4 linked regions of the Caenorhabditis elegans genome follow. The protein of the gene in region 4 purifies or fractionates together with the protein of the main gene of each other region. This does not show direct contact. Each region holds a gene or a part of one and is shown on either strand. Other genes may lie near its edges. The genes, in order: ran-4, exc-4, Y71H2AM.20 and acbp-3.

Region 1 (5,961 bases), on a different chromosome or scaffold from region 4:
AACTTGTTATATCTCTAAAAACTATGGTTGTAGGCACTTGAGTTACGGAGCTTTTAAAGAAATCGTAAAGCGAAAATCTGAAAGGAGCAGAAGCCATCAAATCCAACTTCCAGTTATCAACTTCCGGATCGCCTGTGCTGAACTGACAGAACACGTGGAATTGTTTCAGGAGATATCTAAATGAATAATTTTTTGAAAATAAAAAAAACTTGATTGAATACCGAATTAAAAGCAATTTGTTTGCATTCGTAAACTGGGCAGTCGTGCAAGACTTTGTTACAAAATTGCAGAAATTCTGGACGAGGCGTGGTTGGAAACTGACGGTAGAGACTGACATCATTTGACTCCGTTCTTCTGCAACTTTATATGCATTCAATAATTTGGTTTTTTTTTCGGGATCAGTAGTGTCGCCGGAAAATTTTTCGATTTATTTCAGGAGAAAAAAGTAATAAATTAAATTAAAATTGACCATAAAATTCAATTTATAAAAATCTAATTTTGTCTATGTTGATGGAAAAAACATGAATTTAAAAAAGAAGAAAAATGGCTAAAATTTTAAGTTTTTTCCGAAAAATCGAAAAATATTAGATGTTTCAAAACACAAAAACCCAACAAAATTTTCGTTTTTCGATTTTCAGTGCCCTCGAATTTTTTCGATTTATTTTCCTGATTTTTGAGTCAAACCGAACAAAACCGAAAAAACTAAAACAAGTTCGGTTTTTCAGAAAACCGGACGACCTTACGTACCAATGCTAACTCGATTAACAAGGGGCGAATCGGCACGAAAGAGCTGAAGTGGCGTCCGAATAGTTTGATGGGTGATTTTTGGAGATCTTGGGACTGACATCGAAGAAGGTGCCGTCTCATCGCATGGAAGAATTCTTGTGACATATTGAGAAACTGCTGAGAACAGAATTGAATCTTTTGCAGGCTCAGTTGGCTGAAAATTCAAAAGGATTCAGAATCAAAATTATGTAAAACAATATACCGCAGTTGACACTTCGCATTGATGTAGAATACTGTCCCAAAGTTCAGTACAAAGCTGATCATCCTCCAGGACGGTTTCGAAGAAAACTGAATTTGAGTTTATCAGTGATTGGATGTGACAATAAGGAGAATCTGGATAATGTTGTTGTATTAGAGGTGGGAGGATGGAGCACAAATCGATGTGGGGATTCTTGAAGATTTTCTGAAATGCTCCATATTGATAATTTTAATTTTGAAATAACTTATAAGTACATGAATAATCATTTTTGAAATAGGAACATTCTTGTCTGTGGAAATGATATTCGAACTGATCTCCCTACAAATTGAAACTACATCGTCCATCTGTGAAAATTCTGTTGGTGTCTGCCGCTGCTGGAACATCTCTGAAATTATATATAGAATCGACAACATTTTAAGTTTTTGAGAATACTAAAATAAGAGCGATCGGGAAAAATAACCATGAATAAAAACATTAAAATTTTTGGAAAAAATGTGTATTAAAAAAAAATATTTGAATAGATAAACATTACAAGTATGCAATAAATAAATACGATTATAATTTAAAATTTGAAGTGACTTAGGGAACATTGTTTTCTAGAAGTTATAATTTAACGTCTGTACACGACTTTTTCTCTTCTTCTGTCCAATTTCTTCTGTTTCTTGTCATCCATTTCATCTGAGTCTGATCCAGCGGTCAACCATGGTAGAAGGAATCCAGCAACAAATTTGTATGTGGCTGCTCCAGGAAAGGCGAGGAGCAAAAGGAATCCGTATGTAGAATAGAGTGAGATGATCTGGGAACAGAGTAAATTATACATTTGAAGATAGAATATTTCATTTTTGAACTATTAATGCGCACTTTCCCACACTTTTTTTTTGCAAAAACTAACTTGAATAATGACTGTCAGAATAATGGCGTCTTTACAGTATTCTCCGAATGCTTCTGGATCGTTCAAATCGGCACCAGCATCCAAAACATGTCCTTTATCGTCAAGCTTTGCTTCTAAAATCATAATTTCAGATTAATACAAAAAATTAATGGGTAAGACAAACTTACTAGCTAAAGATTTCATGAAAAGAATAGCAAAGATCTGCACGAGCGCTGAGACAGCAAAAAATACATAATCGGTGGAAGAGCACTGGCTCAGAAACATACACGATGAATAGTAGATTGCCTAAAACAATTTTTAAAAAATCGTTGAAATGTGAAATTACAAATGTTTACCATGCTAATCGTGCTAGCCACACTATAAGTGGTGACAGTCTTCTGATTCTCCTCATAGATCTCTTTCTGCCCTTTTGTTGCTTGTTTCACCATCTGTATTTAATTTTTATATTTTTGAGGTCATTGCTGAAAAAGTCAAAGGTATTGTAAAGGTTGAAAAACCACTAATAATAACGAATTAAACAAAATTTTCTCGATATCTCGGAAAGAAAATGATAAAAACTTCATTCTTTAGTTTGAACCGATTTGCAAACTAGAAGTTTGAAATTGTGCGAAATAGTAAAACGACACGAAACTGTGTGGGGAAAGAAACCGATTTAGAAACATGGAAAAAGCCGGGTTGAAATAGATATTTAAGCAATTTGGTGAAAATTCAGTTCTTGAAAAATTGTTCAATACGGGGACACATTTTGATAGGAAAGTGGACGAATTGATATCTAATTGTTGTGCAAGTCAAGTCGGAAGATCTCGTTTCCGATGAAGTAGGAACCCTGATTGTTTGGACGGAGAATAAAGACTTGCGAGAAGGGATTGATTGGATCTTCGTCGGTCTGAATAATTTTTTTTCGGTTTTTTTGAAAACTACTTCTACTTACCTTGAGCTGACCAAGAACCATCACTTGAATTGATCCATCATACAGAGGCTGAGAGTCAATCACAGTGATCGCTCGTTGAATTTTTGTGAATCCGAGAGTCTAAAAGTGTTTCGTTATTGAACTCTCGTACTTTTGCACAAACCGTGAACTTTTGGAGAATTCCGTCACGGCCTTTCGCTTGCTGTCCTTCAAAAGTCATGTAAGAGTTTTCTGGGTCGTACAAATCGGAGAGTCCTGAAATTCACTAAGTTTATTGTTTTTTTCAGACGAAATACCTTGAGCACGACTCATTCCATCGCCAACATCGAACTTTGAGTAGTAATGTTGAATGAAGGCCTTTGCAACACTTTCGTAATCAGGATTGAAGCTCATTCCTTTAAAAACGACAAATTGGGAAAAATAATTGAAAAAGAGTAAAAATAAATAAGATAGGTAGGAAAAAGCAACGAAGAATACGATAATTTTCGAAACAATTGAATTATATATTTACTCGAGATGGGTTGTCTCAATAAATTTTGAAAATTAGTTGTTAGATGAGCAGTGGTCTTGCTCGCATTGAGAAAAATAAACAGCAACCAAATTGTTTTTTTTTAGTTTTTAAAGTTTAAACCCTCGGCCTCATGTTTCAGTTTTCGAAAGAACAGTATTGTCTTCCTGCGTTTTGTTCGTTCTTGGGAAGTTTAATTAAAAATAATTATGAATTATTTGATTCCTCACAAGAGAAAACCGATTAAAAAAAATAAAAATGCCTAAATAAATTGGAAAATCAGAATAAAATGGCAAGGTGCCAGCATCGCGCGCACATTTTGTAGCATAATCCAGCGGAGCGCGATTACTGCACAGAAAGCGAGAGAGTGTGTAAACGAGAGAGAACACGTTATGAGCAGAGAAATCGCCTTGTCGTCACTCTTTTTGTTGAAGAGGCGCAGAGAAAAAAGAGTTGGTTGGCTCTGTTTTTATGTCTCTTTGAGCTCGCCAAAATGGAAAACAGAGCTGGAAAAGCAACAAAATAACGACAAAACCACTGAAATTATGTTCCTCTTTTGTTGTTGCTCCATTTTTTATTTCTTTCCATTCTACCAATTGAATAAGAAGTTAAACTTTATTCTTACTCCGTAATGTTGGCATTTCAAAAATCAATTTTCTGTAATTTATAGAAACTTGAAATAATTTTCCATCTCTGCGCATCCTCATGCCTTAGCGAACACCATATATGTATGTTCTTTCACTCTTCCCTTTTCGGCACCTGACCAGTCTTTTGAAGCCAACGTTTTCTGAAAATAAAGAACCGTTACTATTATATTTTCACATCATCCAGAACTGAAATGATATCAATTTTCGAGAGCTCATTACATCAAACTCATCCAGTCACATTTATGGTTACCTTGGTAACAGTTCATTGACAAAATTAATGCAAGCAATTCCGAACTCATTACATACTGCTTCTCACATGATTATCAAAATTCTATGAGCGATACATATACTCAGTTAGTTTTCAAATGTAGATTTTTGTAATTGAAAGGAAAATAAGTAAGCCAAACATTTTAAAACTAAATTGTATACCATTTTGCTGACTGAATTTGAGCAAGCTTTAAAACTCCCAAATTTTTTTCTAAAAATGGAAGAAAATTTATGTGAACCTCTAACTATGTGTCGATTTACCCAGCTTGTGTAATAGTTCGAGAATCAAAATTTTTTTAAAGTTTTTGGTCTTGATTTTTGACAGTATTAATTACATCTTTCTCAAAAGGAAAATCCCATCCAAGATAAAACATTTTAGCCTGTAAAAGTTGTGAAATCGCCTTAGAAGAATATGTGAGCTTTTTTCAAAAATCTCAGTCACATTTTGGAAAACTGCCAGATTTTCTAAAGATTTTATTTTTAGTAATTCCGAGCATCTTGCAGGTTCATACAACGTTCAAATACAAATTATTGGAACGTAGTTCAAATATAAAACTTGTAGAAAAAGCAACGTAATTGTCACTGAATACGAAAACGTATAGCAAATTTTGAAAATGTTAACTATGATGTTCGCCAATTTGACCATATGAGTGATTTAATTTAAACCTTTAATTAAAATTTTCATGAATGTGGCCGAGTTTTTTCACATTCGCGGCCACGCAACGCAGAAATATGTACATGGGTACAGTAACCCCTCCTGTCGAGTTAAATATACTCTTATAGGAGAGAGCTCTTAACTATTCACATGTACGAAAAATAATAATATTTGCCAATTTTCTCGCTCTCAAAATTCCATTTGAAAGAGAGAAAAAACTGTTCTCGATACACGAAGAAACATGCGATATATGTTAATCATAAAACCTTCTAACTTTTTATGTCAGTTTCTATTCTCTTCTCGATTCTCTTTACTTACGAATTCTCTTTCTTCTTCTACCCTTCATCTGTTTTGCTCGTTGTGCAATTGTCAGGAGACATTTAATCCGAGTTAATCAAGAATTTTCGAAATTTATCTGAATCCGATTTTGTTTCTCTTCAAAGTCAGAAGAAATCATAAAAATAATATAAAAGAGGAAGAGGATTATACAAATTTAGAAACATTATTCATTCTTTTTAATCATGATATCTCAAAGGATGTTGTTTACTTCAACTTTTGAAAGGATTTTATAGATAAATTGTTATGATTATTTACTTGTTTTGTTTCTTCCTCCAGTATTTAATCTGTGGTCACTTCGTGGTCTTCAAGGCTTTAGGTTCAGCTCATTTTGGTTGTTTAATAGTAAGTCATATGATACGAAGATTCACAGAATGATTTGATAATAATAATAATACGAAATCTCTTTTTCTATAATATTCTCAGAATGTCATACTTCTATAGAATTTATAAATACATTATTACTGTTTTGAAAACCTTTTTTTCCTAATCTATTCGCCGTCAATTTGGCGTTCTTCTAACATTCAGTATTCGAAATCAATGTTCAAAATTTGCTTAGAGAACACCCCAAAATTAGGTTCCGTCCATATCTTGGCTTTTTTCGCCGCCAGATTCAGAAAAAAACTGATTTTCTGTGAGTTCTATTCTATTTTTTTAATTTCTTAAACAATTGGAAATGGTACAGTGTGTTATAAAATAGTTTATTTATTCTGGTTCCTCATGAGAGCACCTCAATAAAAAGTAGTGACGTACATCCATCT
Region 2 (10,563 bases), on a different chromosome or scaffold from region 4:
TTAAGAGTGTGCTGACGTCACACCACTTTTCTGTGGAAAAAACTCCCGCGTTTTTTAAAGATCAAGCTGTGATGGGACAGACAGCCTGACACCACGTGCTATAACGGGTTGATCTACAAAAAATGCGGGAATTTTTTACACAAAAAAATGTGACGTCAGCACGTTCTTAGCCATGCGAAATCAGTTGAGAAAAGTCTGCGTCTGAATTTGCCGCATTTTTTGTAGATCAAAACGTGTCTCATGTTTCCAGCCGGTTTTAAGTGAGAAATCGATGGTTTTCCTCGAATTTTCAGCTTTTAAAGGAGGAATAACGGTTCGGACAATTTTGAACGTATATACCTAAAATGGGCTGAAATGAACGATTTTTGTAATGAACTTCTCAAAAATGTTTAAATTTTTTCAAATTTTTTATGGCGGTTTAAAATTTCGAAAAAACTACACTGATTTTAGCTAAAATCTCGAATTTCGGCCACTTTTCTCTGTCACATCTGCGCGAAGTTGACTTTTTTTGGAATTATCATCCTTTATAGCATATATTGGTAGTTTATCTCACATGAGATCTCATTCAATTTCATCGATTAAGGTACATTTAAGACCGATAGGTAACCAACCTATCGGCTTTAAATGTGCCTTAATCGACGAAATTAAATGAGATAAACTACCAATATATGCGATAAAGGGTGATAACTCCAAAAAATTAAACTTCGAATGGATGTGACACGTGAAAAGTGGCCAAAATTCAAGATTTTAGCTAAAATTAGTTTAATTTTTTTTCGGAAATTTTGAACCGTCATAAAAAATTTTTGAAGATTTTTTTGAGAAGCTTAATCACGAAATTCGTTCAATTGAGCCCATTTTGGGACTAAACGTTCAAAATCGTCCGAACCGTTAGTCCTCCTTTGAAAGCTGGAAATTCGGGGAAAACCATCGATTTCTCACTTAAAACCGGCTCGGAACATGAGGCATACACTCAAAATAATAAAACTGAGTGGCGTGTACTGCAGAAAACCTCATAATTAGGCCCCGCCTTTTTGTCGTCCACTCACGGGGAAAAGGCAAAATTCGGGGACCAACCAATATCAGGCCGCCGACATCTCATGGGTTCCGCGCGCCGCTATGTTTAACTCGCAGCGGGCGGAGGCAGCTTGCCACACCCACAACGAGTTAAACATAGCGGCGCGCGGAACCCATGAGATGTCGGCGGCCTGATATTGGTTGGTCCCCGAATTTTGTCTTTTCCCCGTGAGTGGACGATAAAAAGGCGGGGGCTAATTATGAGGTTTTCTGCAGTACACGCCACGCAGTTTTATTATTTCGAGTGTACACGTTTTGATCTACAAAAAATGCGGGAATTCAGACGCAGACTTTTCTCAACTGATTTCTGGGTTTTTGCCTGAAAAATGACGTATATCGATCAATTTCACCACGTCAATAGAAATTCCAGAAATGCCACTCTTCACCTGACGGCATCTAGTTTTCGGAATCTCGCATACTATTCACATATATATATTTTATGAATAAATCGCATCGCATAAACCGTTTCTGTGTGATTCGTTTCCGATTACACCACCAACAGCAGCACCCGCCGACCGACCGACCGACGTCTCCACAATTTTTATGATTGTATGTATGTATGTATTATATGTTAGTGTCTAGTGTAGATGTATTTGTATCTTTCTCTTCTTCTTCTTCTACTTCTACACACTGCGGGATTTCCAAATTGGACATTTATTTGGGGGACGGTTTTCTCTGGGGTCTCTACACTCTCTGTTCGATCCGTTCGGGGGGTGTCTCGTCAATTAACAAGTTGCGAGACCATGTACCTGCTGACTTTCTGGACGATTTCATAATTTTTTTTCGATTTTTTTGGCATTTTTTATCAGAAAAATGTGTACTTAAGCCGTAAATCGACATAATTTTTAAAAGAGCCATTTTGGCATGTTGTTTCATTAAAATCTAATCACGAAATATAGAAATCGCAGAATCTAACCGAAAAACTTAATTTTACTTTAAAAAATTTTGCGAAGCAATTTAAATCTTTTACACGTGGTGTCAGACTGTCTCATTGCGGTTTGATCTATGAAAAATGCGGGAATATTTTTCCAGAAAATTGTGACGTCAGCACGCACTTAACCATGCGAAATCAGATTAGATGTCTGCGTCTCTTCTCCCGCATTTTTCGAAGATCAAAGCAAAATGAGACTTTCTGTGACTCCACGTGATTCTAATATTCTTTACCAAAAATATTTGTCACGGAATATAGAAAATGAGGTTTTCTAATTCAATATAGCTTTAATTCCAATTGAAAGGCTTTAGGAGGACATCTTGTCTGAAAATCGGGAGATTTCCCGCAATTTGCAACTTTCAGCTAGTTTTTTGCACACTTTAGAACTAAAATACCTCGTACCTTGTATTTTAGTTCAAAGTGTTCAAATCTCGTCTAAAAGTTGCGAATTACTGAAAAACCCCCCATTCCATTGCAATTACAATTACAATTTTTGTTACTAAAACCTTAAACCTGAAATTAAAATATATTTTTAGTAAGAAATATTGAAAGTAAATTCCACAATGGCTCATTTTTTATTACGGGAACAAGAAATTCTGAGAATGCGTACATCGCAACATATTTGACGCGCAAAATATCTCGTAGCGAAAACTACAGTAATTCTTAAAATGACTACTGTAGCGCTTGTGTCGATTTACGGAAATCGTTTATTAATTGATAGCGTATTAAAAGCACACTTTAAAAATAACACAGTAAAAAAAGCTACAGAAAATTGAATATCATTGTCTCGAAAGTCAGTCCCGTAAATCCACACACACAGAGCTACAGTAGTCATTTGAAGGGTTACTGTAGGTTTCGCTACGAGATATTTTGCGCGTCAAATATGTTGCGATGTACGCATTCTCAGAATTTTCTGTTCTCGTAATAGAATTTCCCCTGGAAACTAAAGTTTTCAAGCTATCTCGAACTTGCTTTGTATAATATTTTCTAGTAACAAAACAAAAAATTTCTTCAATTTCATTGAGAAATTCCCAGAAACAAATTTCCAGAAACATGCTAAAATCTGATGCTGAAATCCAAAAAAAGGTGTGGAAAACTCCCAAAACTAGCTATTAAATCTAAATTTTGAACATTCATTGGAAAATTAACAAATATTCGTAAAAAACGGATGTTGTTACCTAAAATTTCCAGTATTTACACCAATTGTCGTAAATATTTTCTCACTAAATTTAAAAATTCTCCATTTATTCGATATATATATATATCATTTACTATATATAAAGCGCTTATTCTGTGTGTCCATAGTTTGTAGTCTATGTGGTCTTTGTAGTCTGTGAAGTTTTGGCTTCTGGAGGGATAGTGAGTTAGGGTTAGTGTAGGGATATAGTCGGGGTACTGTAGTGGTACAATAGTGGTACGGTAGGAATACTGTAGGGTTACGGTAGTTTCATAAAAAATTAATTTTCAGCCCCAGAAGTCGGGGGCCGCGCCGAAGGTGCGGTCCACGGCTGGTATATATATATATATATACCAGCCGTGGTATATATATATATATATATTTAAAATATACACTAATTTTCTTCTGTTTCTTCCGGATTTATTGTGTTATCTCACCAAATTTTCCTCTCCAACAACCACCGCTAATTCCAGATATGGCAGAAGCTTACCAGATCCAATCAAACGGAGATCCCCAATCAAAACCTCTTCTCGAGCTCTACGTAAAAGCGTCAGGAATTGATGCTCGCCGCATTGGAGCCGATCTTTTCTGTCAGGAATTCTGGATGGAGTTGTATGCTCTTTATGAGATTGGAGTTGCACGAGTCGAAGTGAAGACTGTCAACGTGAATTCTGAAGCATTTAAGAAGAACTTTCTCGGAGCACAACCACCGATTATGATTGAAGAGGAAAAAGAGCTGACATACACTGATAATCGAGAGATTGAAGGACGGATCTTTCATTTGGCAAAGGAATTCAATGTTCCACTCTTTGAAAAGGATCCATCCGCTGAGAAGAGAATAGAGAACTTGTACAGGGTGAGTGTATGGAAGAAGAAGAAGCCCGGAAACTGTCGATTTACGCGGATCGTGTACTCCTCGTGGAAAAGATTCTGTAGTTTTCAGGGTTGTGGGGCACTTTTTTTTCACTTTTTCGTCAAAAAAATGAATTTTTAGTCTAAAATTGATATAGAAATATAGAAAACGGGTTGTTCTATTTGAAAATAACATTTACTTTTGTTGAAAATCTTGAAAAAGACCTCAAATAGTGCCTGAAAGTTGCCGTTTGCCGGAAAAGTGCCGTTAAAAGTTTTTAGATTAAAAAAACTGGGTTCTTTCAAAATGAAAATCCCTTTAATCACATACACATGAAAATAACATTAATTTTTGTTCCGTTTGCCGGAAAAAGTGCCGATTAAAGGTGATTTTCATTTTGAAACAACCCAGTTTTTTTAATCTAAAAACTTTTAACGGCACTTTTCCGGCAAACGGCAACTTTCAGGCACTATTTGAGGTCTTTTTCAAGATTTTCAACAAAAGTAAATGTTATTTTCAAATAGAACAACCCGTTTTCTATATTTCTATATCAATTTTAGATTAAGAACGAATTTTATTTTCCACGAGGAGTACACGATCCGCGTAAATCGAACGCCTAATGTGTTGATTTACGCGGATCGTGTATTCCTCGTGGAAAAGATTATCCAGTTTTCAGGGCTGTGCGGCACTTTTTCGGCAAAAAAATAAATTTTTAATCTAAAATTGATATAGAAATGTAGAAAACGGGTTGTTCTATTTGAAAATAACATTTATCTTTGTTGAAAATCTTGAAAAGCCGAAAAAGTGCCGTTAAAAGGTTTTGATGACTTTTTCAAGATTTTCAACAAAAATATATGTTATTTTCAACTAGAACAACCCATTTTCTACATTTCTATAAAAATTTAAATCAAAAAATGGATTTTTTGCGAAAAAATGCCTTGTACTCCACGAGGAGAACATTTTGCAGTTTTTGCTGATTTATAGTGTTTTCAGTGAAACAAAAATACATCATTTCCCCGGGAAAATTGAAAATTTTTGTTAGAAAAAGCGAAAAATACAAGTTTTTAACGAAAACTCTGAAAATTTCCGCGAAAAATATTTAATTCATCAATTTTCAACAGGGTTTCCCCACGAAAATCGTCAATTTTCGTAAAATTCTCGATTTTCTTTTGAAAATACCGAATTTTTACCGAAAAATAATCACTTTTCCGCCAAAAACTGCATTTTTTCAGAAATTTCTGGTTTTCTCACTGAAATGCAACATTTTGTCATTAAGTTATCGATTTTCTGATTAAAAATACCAAATTTCATAGAAAATATGAAAACTGCAATAAATTGATTTAAAATATTGATTTTCAGCAAAATCCGTAAAATCTTCTCCTCGGGGAGTACACGAGGCTTCACACAGCTTGATATCTCAAAAATGTCCTTTTTTCGATGAAAAAATTTAGAAATTGGTCCAATTTTGTCTTAACAGTATGGAAAATTCTGTTTTTTCCTAAAAAAAAAAAAGAAACATTTCCCAATTTTTCCGGAAAAACTTCAAAAAAAATCCAATTTTCCCGGAAAAACTTCAAAAAAAATTAATTTTTCCGGAAAAACTTCAAATAATTCCAATTTTTCTGGTAAAACTTCGAAAAAATCCATTTTTCACGACGCGCGTAAATCGACAAAGTTAAATTTGACGTTTTCCCCCGTCTAATTTCCTCTCATTTTTCAGAACTTCAAACTGTTCCTGCGAGCAAAAGTAGAGTTCGATAAGGGAAAAAAGGAGCCATCGAGAGTTGAAGATCTTCCAGCACAGATTAAAGTTCACTACAATCGAGTCTGTGAGCAACTATCCAATATTGATCAGGTAAAATACACACAGAAATCTGCGAAATTGCCCATTTGCCGAAAATTTTAATTTTCGGCAAATTTTCCGGCAAATCGGCACTTTGCCGGAATTGAAAATGTCCGGCAAGTTTCCGATTGCCGGGAAATGTTAAGTTTCTGCAAATTGCCATTTTGCCGGGAAATTTTAAGTTTAGGAAAGCTACCTATTTGCCGAGAATGAAAATTTCCGGCAAATCGGCAAAACGGAAATTTTGAATTCCGGCAAATTGTCATTTTGCCGTAAATTTCAATTTTCGGTGAGGTACCTATTTTCTGGAAATTTTAATTTTCGGCAAATAGGTACTTTGCCGAAAATAAAAAATTACGGTAAATCGGCAAAACAAAAAATTTCAATTCCGGCAAAGTGCCAATTTGCCGGAAATTTTCAATTCTGGTAAATTGCCGAAAATGATCAATTCCGGCAAATTACTGATTTACCGGAAATTTCAATTCTGGCAAATTGCCGAAAATTTAGTATTCCGGCAAAGTGCCAATTTGCCGGAAATTTTCAATTCCGGCAAACTGCCGATTTGCCGTAAATTTTAATTTTGGGTAAGTACCTATTTTCTGGAAATTTTAATTTACGGGAAAATGGCAATTTTCCGGCAAATCGACACTTTGACGATACAGAAAATTTCCAACAAATCGGCAAAACGGAAAATCTCAATTCTGGCAAACTGCCGAAAATTTATTATTCCGGCAAATTGCCAACCTATCGGAAATTTTAAAATCCGGCAAACTGCCGATTTGCTTGCCGGATATCAATTTGCCGGAATTTTATAAAAAGATTTTTGATAATACTGAAACACTTCATAGGATGCGTTTTCCGTTTGAAATTGAAATTCATAAAAAGTTTCAGAAAAATATATGCGCAATTGCCGGTTTGCCAAAGTTGCCGGAAATTTCTAGCAAACCGGTAATTGCACATTTTCCCCAATTTTCCGGCAAAATCCCGATTTGCTGGAAATTTCTATTCTGGCATTTTGCCAAAAATTTAGTATTCCGGCAAATTGCCGATTTGCCGGAAATTTCAATTCCGACAAATTTTCCATTTTGCCGTAAATTTTAATTTTAGGCAATGCAAATTTCCGATGATTCGCCGGTAAAGTACCTATTTTCTGAGAATTTCAATTCTGGAAGTTTGCCAAATTTGCCGGAAATTTGGCAAACCGGCACTTTGCCCAATTTCCCAATTTCCCCAATTTTTTGTGATAAATATTGTTTATCGCATCTTGTCAACATAATTCCATCAAAAATTGCCCCCATTTTATTGCAGTTGCTATCCGAGAGAAAATCTCGATATCTACTTGGAAACAGTATGACTGAATATGACTGTGAACTGATGCCACGTCTTCATCATATTCGAATTATTGGATTGTCACTTCTTGGATTCGATATTCCACATAATTTCACTCATCTCTGGGCTTATATCCTCACTGCATACCGTACAGCAGCATTTATTGAGAGTTGTCCCGCCGATCAGGACATTATTCATCACTATAAAGTGAGGATGAAGCTGCAAACTACAGATTTGTTAGCCGGAATCAGGGGTGCCGAGGAACAATGTTTTTTGTTGAAAAAACCAACCAAAAAAAAATTCGAATTAGCCATGAAACATACAATTTTTATTCTAATTTTGTCTATATTTTAATAAGAAAAAACATACGAATTATTATTCTGAAAAAGAAAAAATGGCCAAAAGGTTTTAGTTCAGAAGATTTCGGAAAAATTCAATTTATTTAAATAATATATCTCCAGTTTGATTTATATGAAAAATGACAAAAATTGTGGCTTTGGGGAATAATTTCGACTTTTTCATTGAAAATCTTTTTTAAAAAAACGAGAAAACTATTGATTTCTCAAAAAATATGCTAATTTTTATGTGAAAGTGTAGAAAAAGTCTTTAGAAATAGCAAAAAGACCAGAAAAGGATGTTTTTTTTTTTTTGCTTGCAACAATTCAAAATTTTCGATTTTCTCTTGAAAAAAATCCAAATTTCGGCCGATCAGGACATTATTCATGACTATAAAGTGAGGATGAAGCTACAAACTACGAAGACTCGACACTACAAACTACAGATTTGTTAGCCAGAATCAGGGGTGCCGAGGAACAATTTTTTTTTGTTTAAAAAAACCAACAAAACATGCAGAATTCAATATTTTTATTACAGCTCACGCCTTATTTCATAGAAACAACAGAAATTGCACTTTTTGAGCAAATTTGACCCCAGTGTTGGGTTTTTTGAGAGAAAACCGAGACAGGCGCGACTAAAAATGCACCATTTTTGAGGTTTTAAACGCCAAATTTATATGAAAAATGACAAAAATTGTGTAAACTAGTACTTTTTCACGCTTTGGAGAAATAGTGCACTTGAATTTTCGATTTTTTCATTGAAAATCTAAAAAAAAATCGAAAAAAAAATTTTTCCCGATTTTTCCCGGAAATTCTTCCATTTTTCGAACAAAATTTGGAACATTTCTGATTATTTCAATATTTTTAGCGAAAATCTGGAAATTGTTAGTGTTTCCACTTTCGATTTTGACCAAAAAAAAAACCAAATTTCGGCTTAAAAATTGCTAGGATCGTCAATTTTGCTTATTTATTTAGCCTGAAACGAGTTTAAAAAAATAGCACGATTTAAGGAATTTTCGAGGAAAATAGTACTTCTCACGATCTCCTCAAAGCCGATTAATTATTAGAGCGCGCTTGCAGCGCCTCGCGTTTCTGCATCCGGGGTATTTTGCCTTTCCACTGAAAAAAGCAGCTTTTTTTTCAGATTTATCGAATTTTTAGCTTTTAAAAATTTTTTCCTGCATTTTTCGAACAAACCGTTTTGTTTAACAGTGAAAATCGAATTTAGAATGACTAAAATGAACTTTTTTCGTCCACTGGTTGTGAAATGGTTTGAATTTGAAGAAATCAGCGGGATTTTTCTTATTTTCTAAATATTTTTCTATTAAAAATTGGATTCAACATTTGTGACTTAACGTTAGGGTCAAAAAATGGTTTGCAACCGATTTTTAATAGGAAAATATTCAGAAAATACGAAAAATCCCGCTGATTTCTTCAAATTCAAACCATTTCTCAACCCGTGGACGAGAAAAGTTCCTTTTAGTCATTTTAAATTCGATTTTTACTGTTTAACAAAACGGTTTGTTCGAAAAATGCAGGAAAAAATTTTTAAAAGCTAAAAATTCGATAAATCTGAAAAAAAAACTGATTTTTTCAGTGGAAAGACAAAATACCCCGGATGCAGAAACGCGAGGCGCTGCAAGCGCGCTCTAATAATTAATCGGCTTTGAGGAGATCGTGAGAAGTACTATTTTCCTCGAAAATTCCTTAAATTGTGCTATTTTTTTTAACTCGTTTCAGGCTAAATAAATAAGCAAAATTGACGATTCTAGCAATTTTTAAGCCGAAATTTGGTATTTTTTAAAGAGAAAATCGAAAAATTTTAATTTTCCTGGTCTGCAAGCGCGCTCTAATAATTATTCGGCTTTGAGGAGAGCGCTTGCTTCTATGATAATTAATTTTTTTGAAAAATGTTTGGTGTAAATTTTTCAATTTTACAGCGAAATCAACAAAAGTTTGGTGCGGCTAACAAAACTCTAGTTTGTAGTCGTTTCCCAATTTATGTGATTTTTAAACCCCAAAATTCTCTGAATTTGCAGGAACAAATGAATCTGTTCACAAATCAACGTGAAACCCTCCAATCGCCAACAAAAACGCACACAATTCCGGAAAAAGTGCTATCGGATATTCGTGTTAAAGGACTTGCTCCCGATGTTAATGTTCATTAAATTAAATTCCCTCTACTATTTGCTCTTTAAGTGACAGATTTCTCAACGAAAATTTAAAAAAATTTCGGCTAAAAATTGCATATTTTGGTAATTTTTTCGTCGAATTGACACAAAAAACCGGAATTTTGAATTTTTCTTGTAAAGAGAAAATCAAAAAATTTTGGAAAAATTGGAGCTGATTTTTATGTGATGAAAATCTATTAAAAAAATGGCAAATTTGTTCAATTTTTTTGGCTATTCTTTTTATATATTTTTCCCACATTTTCACATAAAAATCAGCAAAAAAAATTCAAAAACCGAGTTTTCTCAGAAAAACGCCTAAAATTTCCAGATTTTCGCAAAAAATATTGAAATAATTCTTCGAAAATTGGGAAAATTTCCATTTTTTCAAAACAAAAAAAGTGCGGGAATATTCGGAAATTTCCGATTTTTTTTTCAAAAAATCAGACATTATCCAGATTTTCGCTTTAAAAAACCGACTTTTTTCAAAAAATACGAGAAAAAGCGATTATTTCAGATTTTCGTTGAAAATTCTGAAATAAAACAGAAAATTTGCAGATTTTCGCTGTTAAAACCGAAAAAAAATTACAAAATTTCCAATTTTTTCGGGAAAAAAACGGAAAAAATCAGAAAATTTCCAGATTTTTCCAAAAAATACCGGCAATATCTGAAAATTTCATTTTTTTTTTTGCAAAAATACTGGAATAATCAAAGTATTTCCAACGTTTCTATCTGAAAAATCAGAAAATTTTCCAATTTTTTTGCAAAAAAAAACGTGAAATGTATTAAATTTCCAGAATTTCCCAAAATTTTTCACAAAATTTCCAATTTTTCCAACTTTTTTCAACAAAAA
Region 3 (8,112 bases), on a different chromosome or scaffold from region 4:
GAAAATTCGAAAATTATGCGATTTGAGCATCGAAAAATGTAAAATCTCGCGAAAAATGTTGAAAATAAAAGTGAAAAACTCTGTTGGTGTGGTTTTGCGTGGCGGTGTTTGCACACTTTTGTCTACCGTACCCACTCGAAATCAATTTTGAATTTTATTTTATAAATTAAAAAAAAACAATTTTAAATCGAAAATGTCCTCTGATGACGAGATTGAAAGCTTTCTGAAAAAGCAGCAGAATATTCCAATTGTTTTTATCACGGTAATTCTCTTTTTTTTCCTGAAATACTGAAATAAAACAGAATTCAGAGCGGAGGAACTCAAGTGCCGCTGGAAAAGAACACTGTCCGCTTTATCGACAATTTTTCGATGGGAACTCGTGGAGCAGCGAGTGCAGAGTAATTTAAAATGAAAATCAACGAAAAAAGAATTGAATTTTCTGCAGATATTTCCTGCGAGCCGGCTACGCGGTGATCTTCATGCACCGCGAGGAGTCCCTGAAGCCGTTCTCCAGGCATTTTCCGAATATTTTCAATTCGCTGAAGCTAGATGGGGAGAATGTTGTGTGTGATCTGCCGAATCTCGCGCAAATTCTGCGGGACAAGTTCAAGTACGAGGAGAAAATTCTGTACATTCCGTTCAAGACCTTCGATCAGTATATGTCACGTCTCGAGCAAATTTGCATTCATCTAAATCCTCTGGGATCCCGTGCAATGGCTTATTTGGCCGCTGCGGTTTCAGATTTTGTCGTCACCGAGCTGCCAACTCACAAAATCGCCAGCAACACCGAGCTGAGCCTGGAGCTCAGCGTTGCTCCGAAAGTTATTCAAAAAGTTGTCACCTGCTTCATCCCGAATGCGTTTATCGTCTCGTTTAAAGTTTGTTCTTGCGATTTTTGATCGAAATTTGCTATTTTCACCGATTTTTTTGTGCAAAAATGTCCAAAAAATGCGATTTTATCGAAAATTTTGGTTTTCTCTCCCGTAAACCACTTGGAATTGGATATTTTTGCCACTTTTAATCGAAAAAAATCCCGAAAAAATGCAAAAATTATATTGACGGGTCTTGGCACGACCACAGACACTTTTTGAAAAAAGGTGTGCGCCTTTAAAGGGTTACTGTAGCTTTTTTTTCCACTTTTTAGCAAAAAATTGTTTAAAAAGGACGAAAACCTAAAGAAACCGCAAGAAATTGGTTGAAATTTAACAGTATTTTTGAAATTTGAAGTGAAAATGAAAAATAAAACGAAAACCCCAGGAAAAAATGCAAAAATTCCTTTGGCGGGTATCGGCACGACCGCAGAAACTTTTTAAAAGAAGGCCTGCGCCTTTAAAGGGTTACTGTAATTTAATATGATTTTTTTTTCAATTTTTAACTAAAAAATTATTGAAAAATGGCAAAAGGTGTTTTAAAAAAATCGGTTTTTTTTTTCAATTTTAGAAAAAAAAACTATATTTCAATATATTTCAATGTCCAATGTACTTTTTTTTCACGGTTTTTTCTCTTTTTTTTTGGAAGAAAAAGTACATAAATTCAATTTCTACTGTATTTTTCGTGCTTTTTCTCAATTTTTAATCAAAAAATTAGTTGAAAATGCCCATTTCCCCCCGCTAAATTTCAATTTAATTCGTAAATTTCCAGCTAGAAACGGACGAAACAAAGCTGATTCCAAAGGCAAAAGCTGCTCTCTCCAAGTACGGCCATCAACTCGTCATCGCGAATATGCTATCAACTCGCAAGCAACGTGTAACTCTCGTCAGAAAGAATATTGAGCAAGGAGAGGAGATTAATCTTGCTCCGGGAGCCCCCGAGCTGGAGATCGAATCGTTTATAATCGATCGTGTTAGCGCTTTACACAGACAATTTATTGATGCACAAATGTAGATATACAGTCATGATTTTCACGGAAAATGAATAAATATTTTAATATAGTAGAGATCATGCATCGGCCATTGGTGGTGGGCAGTGCTCGTTGGGATGTTTCTCACTGTGAAGACGTCGCAAGTCTCCAGATTCGACGACAGATGACGAATGGACGGTTGAAGTGTTGGCGGCGGATGGGATCTGAAATAATATTTGATTTTTCAGGGGGAGTTTGTGAGAAAAATGATGGAAAAATCAATTTTTTATCACCCTCTTTCTGAAAATTTGCGTTAATTCTGAAAAAACCACTTTTTTTACAAAAATTTTTTATGGTCGGTCAAAATATCGAAGAAAAAAAAGCCAAATTTTGCTAAAATCTGAAATTTCGCACACTTTTCTTTGTCACAGCCGCTGGATTTTAATTTTTCTGAAATTATCACCCTTTAATCCTTATTTTGGTGATTTATCTCATTTTGATCATTTTTGGGTGCCTATCGGCCTAAAAGTTGTCTCGATCAACGAATTTCCGCGAGATAAATCACCAAAATAAGGATTAAAGGTTGATAATTTCAGAAAAATTAAAATCCAGCGGCTGTGACAAAGAAAAGTGTGCGAAATTTCAGATTTTAGCAAAATTTGGCTTTTTTTTCTTCGATATTTTGACCGACCATAAAAAATTTTTGTAAAAAAAGTGGTTTTTTCAGAATTAACGCAAATTTTCAGAAAAAGGGTCATAACAAATTGATTTTTTTTCCTAATTTTTCTACTAATTTTTAGAAAAAGAAACAAAAATCTTGGGTTTCATTGGTTTATATACACTTTTAATATACACTTTTTGTAAGTTTTCTACGGGAAAACTCGAAATTTAAGGCGATTATAATAGCTTTTGTTGAAAAATTTGGTCATTTCTCAATTCTTCCAGCAAAAAATCGTAATTTTCCATACAAAACGTTTTTTTCTGACAAAAATCAGTTTTAAAAGAATTTTCTGTTTGAAGGTGAAAATTCAGCGGTTTAGTGCGTTTTCAGTGAAAATTGGTTTTTCTGCCAAAAAAATCACCACTTCTTCTCGATTTTTTCCATTTATTTTTCAAAAAAATCAATTTTTCCAGTGAAAAATTGAAAATTTCGCTTTAAAATCTCTATAATTGTCGATATTTTTACCATTTTCTTCTCCGAATTAACCTTAAAAGCGAACATTCCATGCTGAGCCGGAGCTCTTGGAGGCATCGGATCCTGTGACGGAGCATCTTCCATAGATTCTCTTGGATGCTCCGATCGATCAAATGAGAATAAAGAGCCGAACATCATGTGCTGAACAACTGGAAACTTCTTTAAAACTTCTCCTTCATACATTTTAAACATTCCACTATTGACTTTTTTCCAGTGTGGAACTGCTGAGATATTCCAAAGTTGATTTGAATGTTCGTGGAAAGGGCCGGTTTTTGTTTGATTGATAAAGTTTACGCAGTCCAGGAAAAGACTTGTGTGGGCGTGAGTCTCAACAATATTCTTTTTTAGGTAACTGTCCGGCACGATACTTTTTGAACCTGAAAATCGAAACAATTTAAGATTTTGGAGCGGATTTTTGGCTATTTTTTGGCATTTTTCAACATATTTCAGGCCTATATAAGCTTTGGAAATTCAAAAGTTTTTTTTTTTGTAATTTATTGGTAGAAAACTAGATTTTTAGGTGATTTTCTAGTAAAATTTTATAATTTTTTTTCTGAAATTTTCACAGAAATATGCTTTTAAGCGGGGTTTTCTAGAAAAATTGTAGAAAAATTTTTTTTTGTCATTTTCGGTGCCTTTTTTAAGTTTCACAGGAAATTTAGTGAAAACTAGCTTTTTTTGAAGTTTTCCTACGAGGAAATGTTGTAGATTGAAGATTTTAAACGATTTTTCCCGGATTTTTAATAGGAAAATCGCGAAAATTGATGATTTTTAACGGAGAAATTGAGGATTTTTCAATGAAAAATTGTGAAAACTTATGATTTTTAAAGGAAAATTGCCAAAATTTATGATTTTTTGGCAAAAATCGCAAAAATGTGATGATTTTTTAATGAAAAATCGGGAAAATTGTTGATTTTTTATTTAAAAAAAATCGCAAAAATTTGTGATTTTTCGACAAAAATCGTGAAATTTGATGATTTTCAACGAAAAAACGGAAAAATGCATGATTTCGAATGAAAAATCCTTGAAAAATGAACGTTTTTTGAACAAATACTGTGAAAAAAGACATTTTAGATAGAATTTTCCGACAATCTGTGAAAATAAGTCGGTTTTTCTTCGGAAAACGACTTAATAATTGTGGTTTCTTGAGAATTTTTGAGTTTTTAATGGAAAATTCAGCTATTTTCCTGAATTTCAAGACTTCTAGTTGCTCCAACATATTACCAATAAGCTGAGCGCTTCCAAAAATGAACGGCGCGAACTGAAAATCGTCAATCGCATGAACTCCACGACTTCCAGCCGGCTCCATCTTGAATCTGGTCTGCAGATGACGGCACACTCTCAAATACTTGTTAAAAATGCGAAGAACGAGCACTTTGTCATCATTTTCTGTGAAAACGCCCAACTTTTGCAGGCAAAACAGCAAAATTAGGAAATTCGCCTCGTGTCCCGAGCCGTAATCGATTCGAGTGGCGTTTCCGAAGGATTCTGTGAAATATGGAACCAGTTCGACTAGAGCATCGTGGACGTTTTCCGGAAGAACGCTGGCTAGGAGATCTGGGGATTCCTGGAATTTTTAAAATCTTTTTAAATACATTTTTGAGCTAAAAACCTTGCAAAGCTTCTCATAAAACTTTCTGTAAGCTTTATTGCCAAATCTTTGCTCGGAAACATCTTCCAGAGGAATTTCCTCAGCCCATTTCTGAAAAAAATCCATTTTTTATTTTTTTAAATCTGGTTTTTCGTAATTTTCCGTAATTTCTCGAACCTCCAGCTTATCCAGCATGTCGATAAAGCTGATAACCAAGTCTGTGCATCTCATGTCTGCAGTTGTATGAACTCCAACTACAGAATCATTCAAACGATGCAAGAAAGCCAGGTACTCCTCGTAAGCCTGCAAATTTCCATTCATAATCCTTCAAATCGATAAAATTTCTGTTCTACCTTGGAAAAGTACCACGGATTCAGGTCGAACACATTTTTAATCATCTTTTCCGGCGGTTTATACGAGTTTTCAGCCATTTTTCTGGAAAAAAATCTATTTGTTTTGATTTCTAGAACTTTGTTATGTAAAAAAATAATGCAGCAAGTGCGCTCCAACGCAAAACCCCATTGTGGAGCGTTTTGTGCGTGAGAGGTGTATAGGAGTGTGTGGCTCGCGCAGCGTCTTTAGTGAAAAATTTTTATTGATTTTAAATATTGTTTAATTCGGTTTTCACGGATTTCTGAGCTTTGAAAATAACCGCCCGTGTTTAAATTTCAATTATATTCAATTTCAGTAATGCCTGTCGAAGTTGAGGTTCCCCCAACCACTTACGAGAGACTCCAGCAATACAAGGTGAATTTTTAGCGTTTTTCTTCATTTTTATCGATAAAAATTTACAGGAGAAGTTCTCCGATGCTCTCCGTCATCCAGACTCGCCAGACTGGTACAAGAAGGAGACCCACGAGTCTGTGAAGAAGGATCTTCTCTGGGCTGCTCCATACGACGCCAGATTCCCACAGGTTGGTAACTTTATTTAAAATTTATTATATATTAATTAATAATAAAAATGTACAAGTTTTCAGGTCCGTAAGCAACGTCAATGCTTCGCCTACTACGTCGATTTCCATCGTTGCAATGAGCTCATGGGACAGGACTACAAGCCGTGCAAGTTCTTCCAAAATGTCTACAAGGACTTCTGCCCCGGATTCTGGACCGAGAGATGGGACGAGCTTCTTTCCGAGGGACGTTTCCCAGCTAAATTCGATCGCTAAATGAGATTGTTCGATTGTATTCGAGAACAGGCGTTTTATTAGTGCTGATATTCGATAAAAAGTGTCACTTGTAAAATATTTTAAACACTTTTATTTCTTATGGCGTTATGAGACGCTTGAAATATCTCATTTTTTTTAAAAATCATATTTCCCCCAAATAAATAATTTTCTCAGTGGAAACCATGGCTGACTCAACTCGCGTCAGCGAGAAGGAAATCGAGCGCCGCGAGACCTTTATTCGCGCAGGACACAGAGCTCGTCACCTGGCCGATCCATTCACATGGAGCTACCCATTGAAGGGTGCCAGTGCAATGCTCGGAATCTCGCTGGCTTCGGTTTATTTGCAAAATCGATGGAACAAGAAGCCGTACTACTACGCAATTGTTCCACGGCTTTTGCTCATCGGAGCCGCCACCGCCGCCGGATACGCTGCCGGAGCACTTCGAGAGAGACACTATCAGACGAGAGACGCAGTCATCGAGCACTACATGAAGCTTCATCCAGAGGATTTCGACCATTTTAATGATCGTGAGTTTTGGAATTTGCTGAAAAATCGATTTTCAGATTTTACTGCAATTTCGAAAAAAAAACCCGGCTGAATTCGATCAAATTTGAAAGATTTCGGCTTTTTCCCCCCAGAGAATACCGTATTTTTCGCGATTTTCTGTGATAAATGCAGAAAATATATACATTTTCCCCGAAAAAAAAACGCTGAAAAGGAGAAGATTTGGCTAAAATGCTCGATTTCGGACCAATTTTTGCATTCAAACACCCAAATCAATGATTTTTATCTTAAAAATAGCAAAAATTGGCGTGAAAAACCGATTTTAGCCTAAAACACCATGGAAAACTACAAATTATCGGTTTTTTCGTATTTTTTAACAGTAAATTCGTCATTGTTCATGTAAAATACTATAAATCACCGATTTTTATGTTAAATTCAGAAAAAAAATAGTGAAAATGGCGCATTTCAGCTTAATCTTCTCCTCGAGGAGTACACGAGCTGCGTAAATCGACACATCACAGAAAACTTGAATTTTGGACTAGAATTCAGTTTTTTTTTCGCAATTCTAAGTAATTATTTTGGAAATTAGTGCGAAAAAAAGGGAATTCTGGCTAAAAAATTCAAAATTTCTGGGAAAACGGAAGATTTTCTAGTGAAAAATGCAAGAAAATCATCAAAAATTCATGGAATCTATTTATTTTTCAGGCAGTGGACGTTCATTCTCTCAAGTTCTTCTTCCATGGTATCCACGCAGAACCCAGTACACCAGATACGACTGAACAATTCTCTCGAAGTCTCTTTTTAGTTCATTATTGTAAATTAAATGAAGAATTATTGATTTTTTTCCCGGAAAATTCTCATTTTTTTCATTTTTCAGCATCCATCTGGTCTTTTGAGCCGTTTTGAATATAACTAATTAACCCAGAAGCAATTTTGGGGCAAAAATACTATACTATATCCTGGGTCTCGACGCGACAATTTGTGTTAAATGCGAAGAGGGATGCGCCTTTAAAAAGTACTGTAGTTTTAAACTTTTGTTCCGGTGGTTTTTATTGATTTTTTATAGTTTTTCTCACATTTTATGAGAATTTTTGCATATTTTTTTAACGAAACTAGAATAAAAACACATAAATTTCTATAAAATCTGAAAAAAAAACTATGAAAAATCGATCAAAAATTTAAAAAAAAACTCAAAATTGTCGTGGCGAGACCAGTTTTTTGCCACAAAAATCGCGCAAAAAAACGCCAGATTTCAGCATAATGGAAGCATCTTCGGAACAAATTTTATTGGATCGAAAAGATCGATTAATTGCAAAACTGGAACAAAGAAATGAAGAACGAAAAGTGCAAACTGAAGAATGTTTATCGAAATCTGAAGGAGCACAAATCGATAATTTAATGGCGGAAATTAAATCGGATTTGGAAGCGAAAAAATCCGTCGATTCGCAGAAAATCGACCGGCTTCGTAAGAAATTTCCCCGCCTCAAACAAACAAAATCGATAATTTTCTTCAATTTTTCAGAAGAATTTCTGGCGTTCTCGACGAGTAACCGGCAAACTAAAACAATTCAAAATTTCCTTGAAGACGTTCGAAAACAGAAGCTCGCGCTGAATTCTGGACCCAAATTCAAGGGTTTTTCGTTTTCAGTTCGGTGGTTTTTTTCACTGATTTTCTCAGGCAACTCAAATCTAATATGAAAATATTAAATAGCAATATTTTTGTAGTTGGGTGATATTTCAAGATAAAATCGCAATATTCCGAGACTTATTCGAAATCTTTTTAGATTGAGCAATCTTTTGAGAATAATTCGCAAT
Region 4 (6,699 bases):
GTGGAGAATAGATTGTTCGCAGAAAAGATAAGGTACAAAGTATCGGAGGAGGTGAAGACAGGAAAAGTGCAAACAGAAAGGGAACTGATAATAAATAAATGGCGGATTCGATCAGAGGCTACTTGTAAGGTTTTCCTAAAAAAACAAAGATAGGAATTCAAATTTCAGACTGCCGAGGGATCAGGAATATCAAAGATTTTGTTTTATATTCGTATTTTCAAATGCATGATCAGTTGGAATAAATGTTAATTTAAACAAAAAACTGGAACAGCGTACTAGCCAAAAACATTAATTTCAAATTGGGAAACCCACGAGATTTCACATAAAAAAAGGAATTCGGCCTCTTAAAATAACTACTCCCATAATCACATATAAAATAAACTAAAGTAATATTGATAACAATTGGATGCAATCAAGCTCCGTGCATCCATGTCACATCAAAACAAGAGGGGCCAACGAGAGGAAAAAAGGTTGAGTTGGATGAAATTATCAGTAGGGGTAAACGAGGAAACAAGAAGGTTTTCTCTTCTTCTCTATGTTTCCCCGGGACATAGAGACAGACAACGATGGATCAATGGAATTGTCAGAGGGAAAGACGAGAGAGAGAGGACCCATCTGCGTGTAGTGTGCAGCGTTGTTGTGTCCTTCTTGCATGCCGTTCCAACGTGAGACACACAACTCTATTTCCCTTTTTTCTTTGACTCTCTTCCCGCCAAACAGATAGGATGTTGAGTATGAAGAAGAAAATGAGCGTAGAGTTGGAAAACCAAAAGGCATTTTTTCGCTCTGGGTGAGAAAAAATGAGAGAGAATAGACAGAGTCTTGCATTGGATAAGTGGGTGGATAGAAAGACGTCATATTTCTTCGTTTGATTCAATTGGGTATTTACTGATCTTTGAAAAAGTATTACTGTCTGGCAATGTACATGTATAGATTAAAGTCTCTTAAAGTTTACATGTTTTCTTGAAATGTAATGGATCAAAAATACACCACTCTTCAATTTCAGCCAGAGCAGGCACCAAAATCATCTCTACATCTACAAAGGTGACAACGTGGAACGTAACGTGGAAACGAAAACAAAAATGAAAACGTCGAAAACATGAAAACGTATAAATGAATACAAAGTTTTATTACTGAACTCAGCAGAACAGTTTTTTATTTTTATTTTAGAACGACATTATACAACCACAGTAAAAACAGTGACTATAATAATTATTCTATAAAGAAAATTAACTTTGTTGAAAATTCTAAAATCTTATAAATACGGTTGATCAGTTACCATGTGTTTGTTACTATTTGTCAGACAGGTAAATTTTTTGAAAAACATAGCCACCAAAATAAAAACACGCAACAAAGTCTCACGTGGTCATTAAGCACCAAATTTGAAACTAGTCGCAGTAACATGGAAGGTTATCTTTCCAGTAAAACGTCATGCCACTAATGTTTGCTGCAGCTACGCAACTTGAATTCCATGTTCTTATCAGATAACACGTTGTATAGTCAAAAATCTAATGTGATGTCTGTATCATTGTGTTTGTCATGATCTTTTTGTATATTTTAAAAACCTATTTTCAACTTTTAATGTGATTTTTGTAATTCTTGAAAAAAGACGACCGTCAAGCATTATGAGGGACAAAAATTCATCTACGAAACATTTACTAAAAATTTAACGTTTAAAAAATTATTTATACTCCAAACTAGGTATTTTCCTTGTTTATCCGAGAAAAAAACTAATAAGTACGTAATCCAAATAAGCATTTGGCAAAATTGAAGATTTAATTAAACTGTCTGAAACGAGTAACTTATCGGAAACAGTCGTAAATTTCAAAAAACATTCAATTCTTTTAAACTGGGTGTCTTCATAAAGTTTGCAAAATATACGAACAACAGAGAAAATAAGGCAACAATCGGTGAATTCATAAAATAAATATATTATACTTTTTTTTGAAGTTTATGGTAAACTTTGATTATTTTCTATTATTATTTTCGATTGTTTCCCACTTTTTGTTATGCTCTGAATATTACAAGAAAAGTGAAATACATTTTGGTACGTGTGTATTTTATTTTGAAAGTATATTGAAGTTTCTACAAAGAATTTTTTTACATTTTATATTAAAAAGATTTGAAATATTTCATATGGTTTTTGAACATTTTTTGATGTACAGCAACCACATAAATTTCAATTTAGAAGTAAATTCTAACAATAAGAATACACGTTTTTACTATTGTCAAATACCTGAGTTCAATTTATTCTATTTTTTTCTCAAAATGATATTATCCTATTCCATTCTCCAATGGTATCCTTTAAATGAGTGTAATCTCTCACCCGCAGTTTTCCGGACAATTAATTGTACTGTCCTTCCCGAAGACCAGCGCCAATGATAAAAAGATGACGTCTTGTTCACGGGAAGACACGATACTGAATGGGTCATCTTTATATCCAGGGAAAAGATTTAGGTCAACAGCAGCAGCCCGTTTGTCCTTGTAAATCCGATCGGGCTGACGGCGCCCAACGGCACTACTCACAGATTTCTTCACGTTCAGTTCTCCCTGTTTTGTACTTTTTGGATTCTAGTCTCGTTTTGATGTCTTGTTTGATTTAAACCGTGTTTGATAACTAAGTAAATAGGTGTAGTTTATTTCAAGGCCTTTGAAAAAGTCAATCAATTTGCAATTTGAAAACCGCTTCGAACTTTTTAATCTTTTTAATCTATTCATTAACCTAAAAATTTCAACGCTTTCTTATTTCAGAAAATGTCTCTTCAAGAAAAGTTCGACGCTGCTGTGGAAATCATCCAGAAACTTCCAAAAACAGGTACGTTGGACTTTGATTCGCTACAATGCTACAAACTATGCTATGATGTAGTTGATTCAAAGCTAAATTTACAATTTTTCTAGGACCAGTTGCCACCAGCAATGATCAGAAGCTTACCTTTTACTCTTTGTTCAAACAGGCTTCTATCGGAGATGTGAACACCGATAGACCAGGAATTTTCTCCATCATCGAGAGAAAGAAGTGGTCAGTTTTTTTTTTCATTATTCCTTTGTCTGATTCGAAAAAGGGGAATTCTTTTTTTCTTATTTCATTGACAAATGAGTCATGACCGCGTGGCTAGCTAAACTGCATCAGAATTGCGTGAGTTATGTGTGTTGATTTTTTGACCGCAATATATATTAACTTATCGCTATGCAACAAATGTCGGCGTTGTGTCTGCAAACGATGCAATTATCATTTTCTTCGAATATGGTGCCACAAAAAACGAGTAGGAACGGATGATTGTGAAATTATCAATAAAAAGTTTTGAAGAAATGTAGAGTGTCGTTTCTGATCATTGGTCTCTTCAAAACCATAAACTATGTTTGAAATACCCCTTAAAAATAACACGAAGCCTGTATTAATGTTTTCACGTTTGTAGAAACATGGATTCAAAAAATAATTCCGTTCATGGGTACTTGTGTAGTTACTGTATCCCACAATGTATGCAATGGATAAAATTCCAAAATGACCACAACGTAAATAACCATTTTAATGCTCAATTCATTTTTAGGTTTAGATTTTTCCTAAGTCTAAAATTCAAAAAGAACTCATATTGTATTTTTGAAAAAAATTAAAAAGATTTTTTGGTGTACTGATATTACACAAGTACTCGTTCATGAATAAAAAGAACGAACCCATCAAACATATGTGTTGGTGGAACATTATTTCAATGCTGGCGATAGTGAAGGTTTTATTCTAAAAGGCAATAATACAAAAAAGGCAATTTAAATACAAGTATTATTTAAAATCAGAAAGTTTCAAAAGAACGAGTGATCGTATCTAATTATAACAGTCGTGATTTTGAAACATCCATAAAAAGGTAGTATATCTTGTAATGTTTTCTATTTATTTCATTGGCTGGCGCTAAAAAAAAAGTTGTAAAAGTGTGGAGTGCTAAGATCGCAATTCTAAACAGACTGCTGGTATAATTTTTCAAACACCGATTTTTAGTGCACTTTTAATAGTACACATTTCTAATAAAATGTACAATAGTAATTGAAAAAGTTAGATGGGTCAGTTCCAATAACTCAAAATAGTTTAACTACTTGTCTGAAAATGGTACGTTGCGACTATTGATGTTGAAGCCATGTAAAAATAACAATTAATTCCAACTGGCTCACAGTATTTACTGGCATTTTCCTGACCAACCCCAGTTAATCCGATTTCCAGGGACTCATGGAAAGAGCTCGAAGGAGTGTCTCAAGATGAAGCTAAAGAGCGTTATATCAAGGCTCTAAACGACATGTTTGACAAAATCGCCGAGGTATGTGAATGGGTCTTGTCGGCAAACGTTTGAAGTTTTTGTAGCAGAAACTAGTAGTTACGTTCAGAATTACTTTGTTTTCAGGAACTTGATGTTGCCGCTTGGCTTGAACAAATTGACCCAGTCATCAAAACCAACCTCGCTCTCATTGGAAAGTAAATCTTAATTATCATAAACATTTTTTTTTCAAATTTCGAACAATATAATTATTTGTATTGCTTCTTGATACTAAATAAATATGAATTAATTTTGTAAATTGAATAACTCTATAGTTTTACTGTACATTGGAAGAATCTTGCATGAAAATGAAAACTATGAATTGCATTTGTAATAGTGAAATTTGAACATTGTATGTATACATAATTTTTATTGCAGTAGAGTTGAAACTGTGAATAAATTTTAAATCCACAATATAAAATAAAAATGAAAATCAGACGAGCACCCGAGAAGGAAATTAAATGAATTCGGAATACATAAGAGATCAACATAATGTTTGTGTGTAAGAGATAGTTCAATAGAAAGCACGAGGTTAAACATTTCAGATAAAACATTGCAAAGGTTATAAGCGTTCCTTTTTATCCATTTCCTCTCTCTTCTTGTCTTCCTGGTATGCAAAAAACTGAAAAGTGCGGTAGACAACATGCAAAAATATGCAATTTATGACTATAACAAACGACATGGCAGCCATCACACCCAGTGTGACCAGGATTGCAGCTGAAAAATTTTGAAGTATAAATATTCACAAGTAGTATAATCGTTCTCACTGGTAACACTTTCTCTTGATCGGAAGTGATACTCATCTGGATTTGATCGCAAAGCTTTAAGATTGTCGAGGATGTTCCTGTAAATATAGTTGTTTTTAGTTTGTTCCGAGTCTGTTAGTTCCCAAAACCTCGATACATCACTAGTTCCCTTCAACATGTGGTACACAAAAACCAGGAACAAAATTATCATGCCAAAGTTCCATATTACCTGCAACATAATTATACGTTTCATGAAAAAGAACGAAGCAAAAAATAAACATACATTGTAAAACAAGTACGGCTTCAGCAATCCCGAACGTTGCTTTGAGACACCACAAAACAGAGTCAGCAGAGAAATGCAGTCGAATATAAGAAGGAACGCTTCGAGATATCCTGCAAAAAAGAAAAATAGAGAAAAGAATTATATGAATGAATTACAAATTGGATTTTGAATAAATTTAGCAAAACAAGTATGCAAATAGTTGGTATAAACAAGAAATTGTGACGTGCTTACCGTTTAGACCGAGTTTTGAGATGCCCATAAAATATAGAACAAGGTTTATGATAAATCCTAAAAAGGCAAATACTGCAACTGCTCGGCACGCTTTCTGAAATGTTGTTGTTGTTTTTTAAACATTATATTTCAACTTTCTTTTATTATCTGCATCGTAGAAAAACTATTCAAATCACATTTATAGTCAACAATTTTTAAAAAAATTCACACATTTTTTTGCAGTCGCTTATTCTACTTTATCTGAAAACTGACTATCTGCTGAAACCAGTAAAAGGGAACACTTTATATGCGAGCTTACTTGAATATGACAAGAATTGCAGCAATAACTGTTGGGAGGAATGGGATCTTCCGTGAAACCCAGGCTCACGACAGTTTCCCGTTGCGGCGTTTTCATTATTCCGTTTCCGTTTCCGTTTTCATTTCCGTTTGCATCTGCAAACATAACAGTGTAATAGTAGAGATCACGATAGTAGATAATATTTCGGTCCTTGCTCATGAATGCTCAGAATGTGCCAAAAGTGAATGCACAACATCTTGGAAAGAAAAGATTCAATAACAGAAGTGTGCGTCCTAAACAATGTTGAAATTGAATCTTGACCACTTTTTACTAACTTTGAGAGGATAAATGTAAAAAAGAACTGAGCATTTTTTTATGTTTTTAAAATAGAAGTGTAGTAAAGAAAATCGACTTACAATGCGGAATCTTGATAATTGGACAGTCAGGGTTATCTGATTCCAAAACAACTGAATACGGCTCAAAATTCATCAGACACAGGATGGCAGAAAATAAATCAAAAAATGAAGAAAATTTTGTAGAAGCTTCAACAACTCCGTGCACAGAATTATTTATTCTAGAATAGCGTGATAAAAACGATCGTTTTTGAGTTATCGGCAACCTTGAATATTCTAGTATCAGCAGATTTTCAATTTTACGCAGACAGACTTTTTATCCAAATTTTGATTTTTGAGGTGAGCAGTATATGGATATGCATGTGTGTTGTTTTGGGCACGTCTTGGATTTAGAAAAAAACATAAATCACTGCCATTCAAGCGCTTCGTCTTCTTTTTTACTCGGTTGAACACACCACAGGTGATCATTTAAACACAATTCGGTTTTGAAAAATTAAATATAATTTGAGAA

The links.
Region 1: the proteins of acbp-3 (region 4) and ran-4 fractionate together in Caenorhabditis elegans (co-fractionation; one large-scale study listed by BioGRID). This does not show direct contact.
Region 2: the proteins of acbp-3 (region 4) and exc-4 fractionate together in Caenorhabditis elegans (co-fractionation; one large-scale study listed by BioGRID). This does not show direct contact.
Region 3: the proteins of acbp-3 (region 4) and Y71H2AM.20 fractionate together in Caenorhabditis elegans (co-fractionation; one large-scale study listed by BioGRID). This does not show direct contact.

What each region holds. Positions count from the first base shown.
Region 1 is NC_003279.8:8,588,436-8,594,396, reverse strand, and holds ran-4 (putative nuclear transport factor 2), read right to left. Parts: upstream 3,183-5,961; 5' UTR 3,181-3,182; coding exon 3,084-3,180; intron 3,043-3,083; coding exon 2,951-3,042; intron 2,908-2,950; coding exon 2,809-2,907; intron 2,764-2,808; coding exon 2,650-2,763; 3' UTR 2,419-2,649; downstream 1-2,418. Other genes in the region: R05D11.9 (Sphingomyelin phosphodiesterase 4), read right to left, coding at 4-176, 222-354, 748-940, 989-1,189, 1,240-1,368; tmem-208 (Transmembrane protein 208), read right to left, coding at 1,596-1,781, 1,878-1,990, 2,045-2,162, 2,213-2,305. UniProt on the Caenorhabditis elegans protein: Facilitates protein transport into the nucleus. Could be part of a multicomponent system of cytosolic factors that assemble at the pore complex during nuclear import.
Region 2 is NC_003279.8:14,511,810-14,522,372, reverse strand, and holds the start of exc-4 (Chloride intracellular channel exc-4), read left to right. Parts: upstream 1-3,653; 5' UTR 3,654-3,657; coding exon 3,658-4,038; intron 4,039-5,755; coding exon 5,756-5,890; intron 5,891-7,186; coding exon 7,187-7,414; intron 7,415-9,581; coding exon 9,582-9,710; 3' UTR 9,711-10,563. UniProt on the Caenorhabditis elegans protein: May insert into membranes and form chloride ion channels. Involved in the formation of the excretory canal. Required to prevent cystic lumenal expansions in the excretory cell.
Region 3 is NC_003281.10:2,780,888-2,788,999, forward strand, and holds Y71H2AM.20 (Serine/threonine-protein phosphatase 2A activator), read right to left. Parts: upstream 5,062-8,112; 5' UTR 5,058-5,061; coding exon 4,980-5,057; intron 4,930-4,979; coding exon 4,804-4,929; intron 4,738-4,803; coding exon 4,648-4,737; intron 4,603-4,647; coding exon 4,260-4,602; intron 3,413-4,259; coding exon 3,048-3,412; coding exon of another isoform or gene 3,027-3,047; intron 2,065-3,026; coding exon 1,939-2,064; 3' UTR 1,885-1,938; downstream 1-1,884. Other genes in the region: Y71H2AM.6 (DNA/pantothenate metabolism flavoprotein C-terminal domain-containing protein), read left to right, coding at 194-262, 310-398, 446-878, 1,642-1,884; cox-6B (Cytochrome oxidase c subunit VIb), read left to right, coding at 5,317-5,373, 5,421-5,540, 5,604-5,792; nduc-2 (NADH dehydrogenase [ubiquinone] 1 subunit C2), read left to right, coding at 5,975-6,320, 7,003-7,076; tbcc-1 (C-CAP/cofactor C-like domain-containing protein), read left to right, coding at 7,558-7,762, 7,820-7,944.
Region 4 is NC_003284.9:10,900,527-10,907,225, forward strand, and holds acbp-3 (Acyl-CoA-binding protein homolog 3), read left to right. Parts: upstream 1-2,745; 5' UTR 2,746-2,754; coding exon 2,755-2,815; intron 2,816-2,898; coding exon 2,899-3,019; intron 3,020-4,207; coding exon 4,208-4,301; intron 4,302-4,385; coding exon 4,386-4,460; 3' UTR 4,461-4,562; downstream 4,563-6,699. Other genes in the region: F47B10.8 (MARVEL domain-containing protein), read right to left, coding at 4,861-5,015, 5,066-5,142, 5,194-5,273, 5,328-5,437, 5,559-5,652, 5,857-5,990. UniProt on the Caenorhabditis elegans protein: Binds medium- and long-chain acyl-CoA esters with very high affinity and may function as an intracellular carrier of acyl-CoA esters.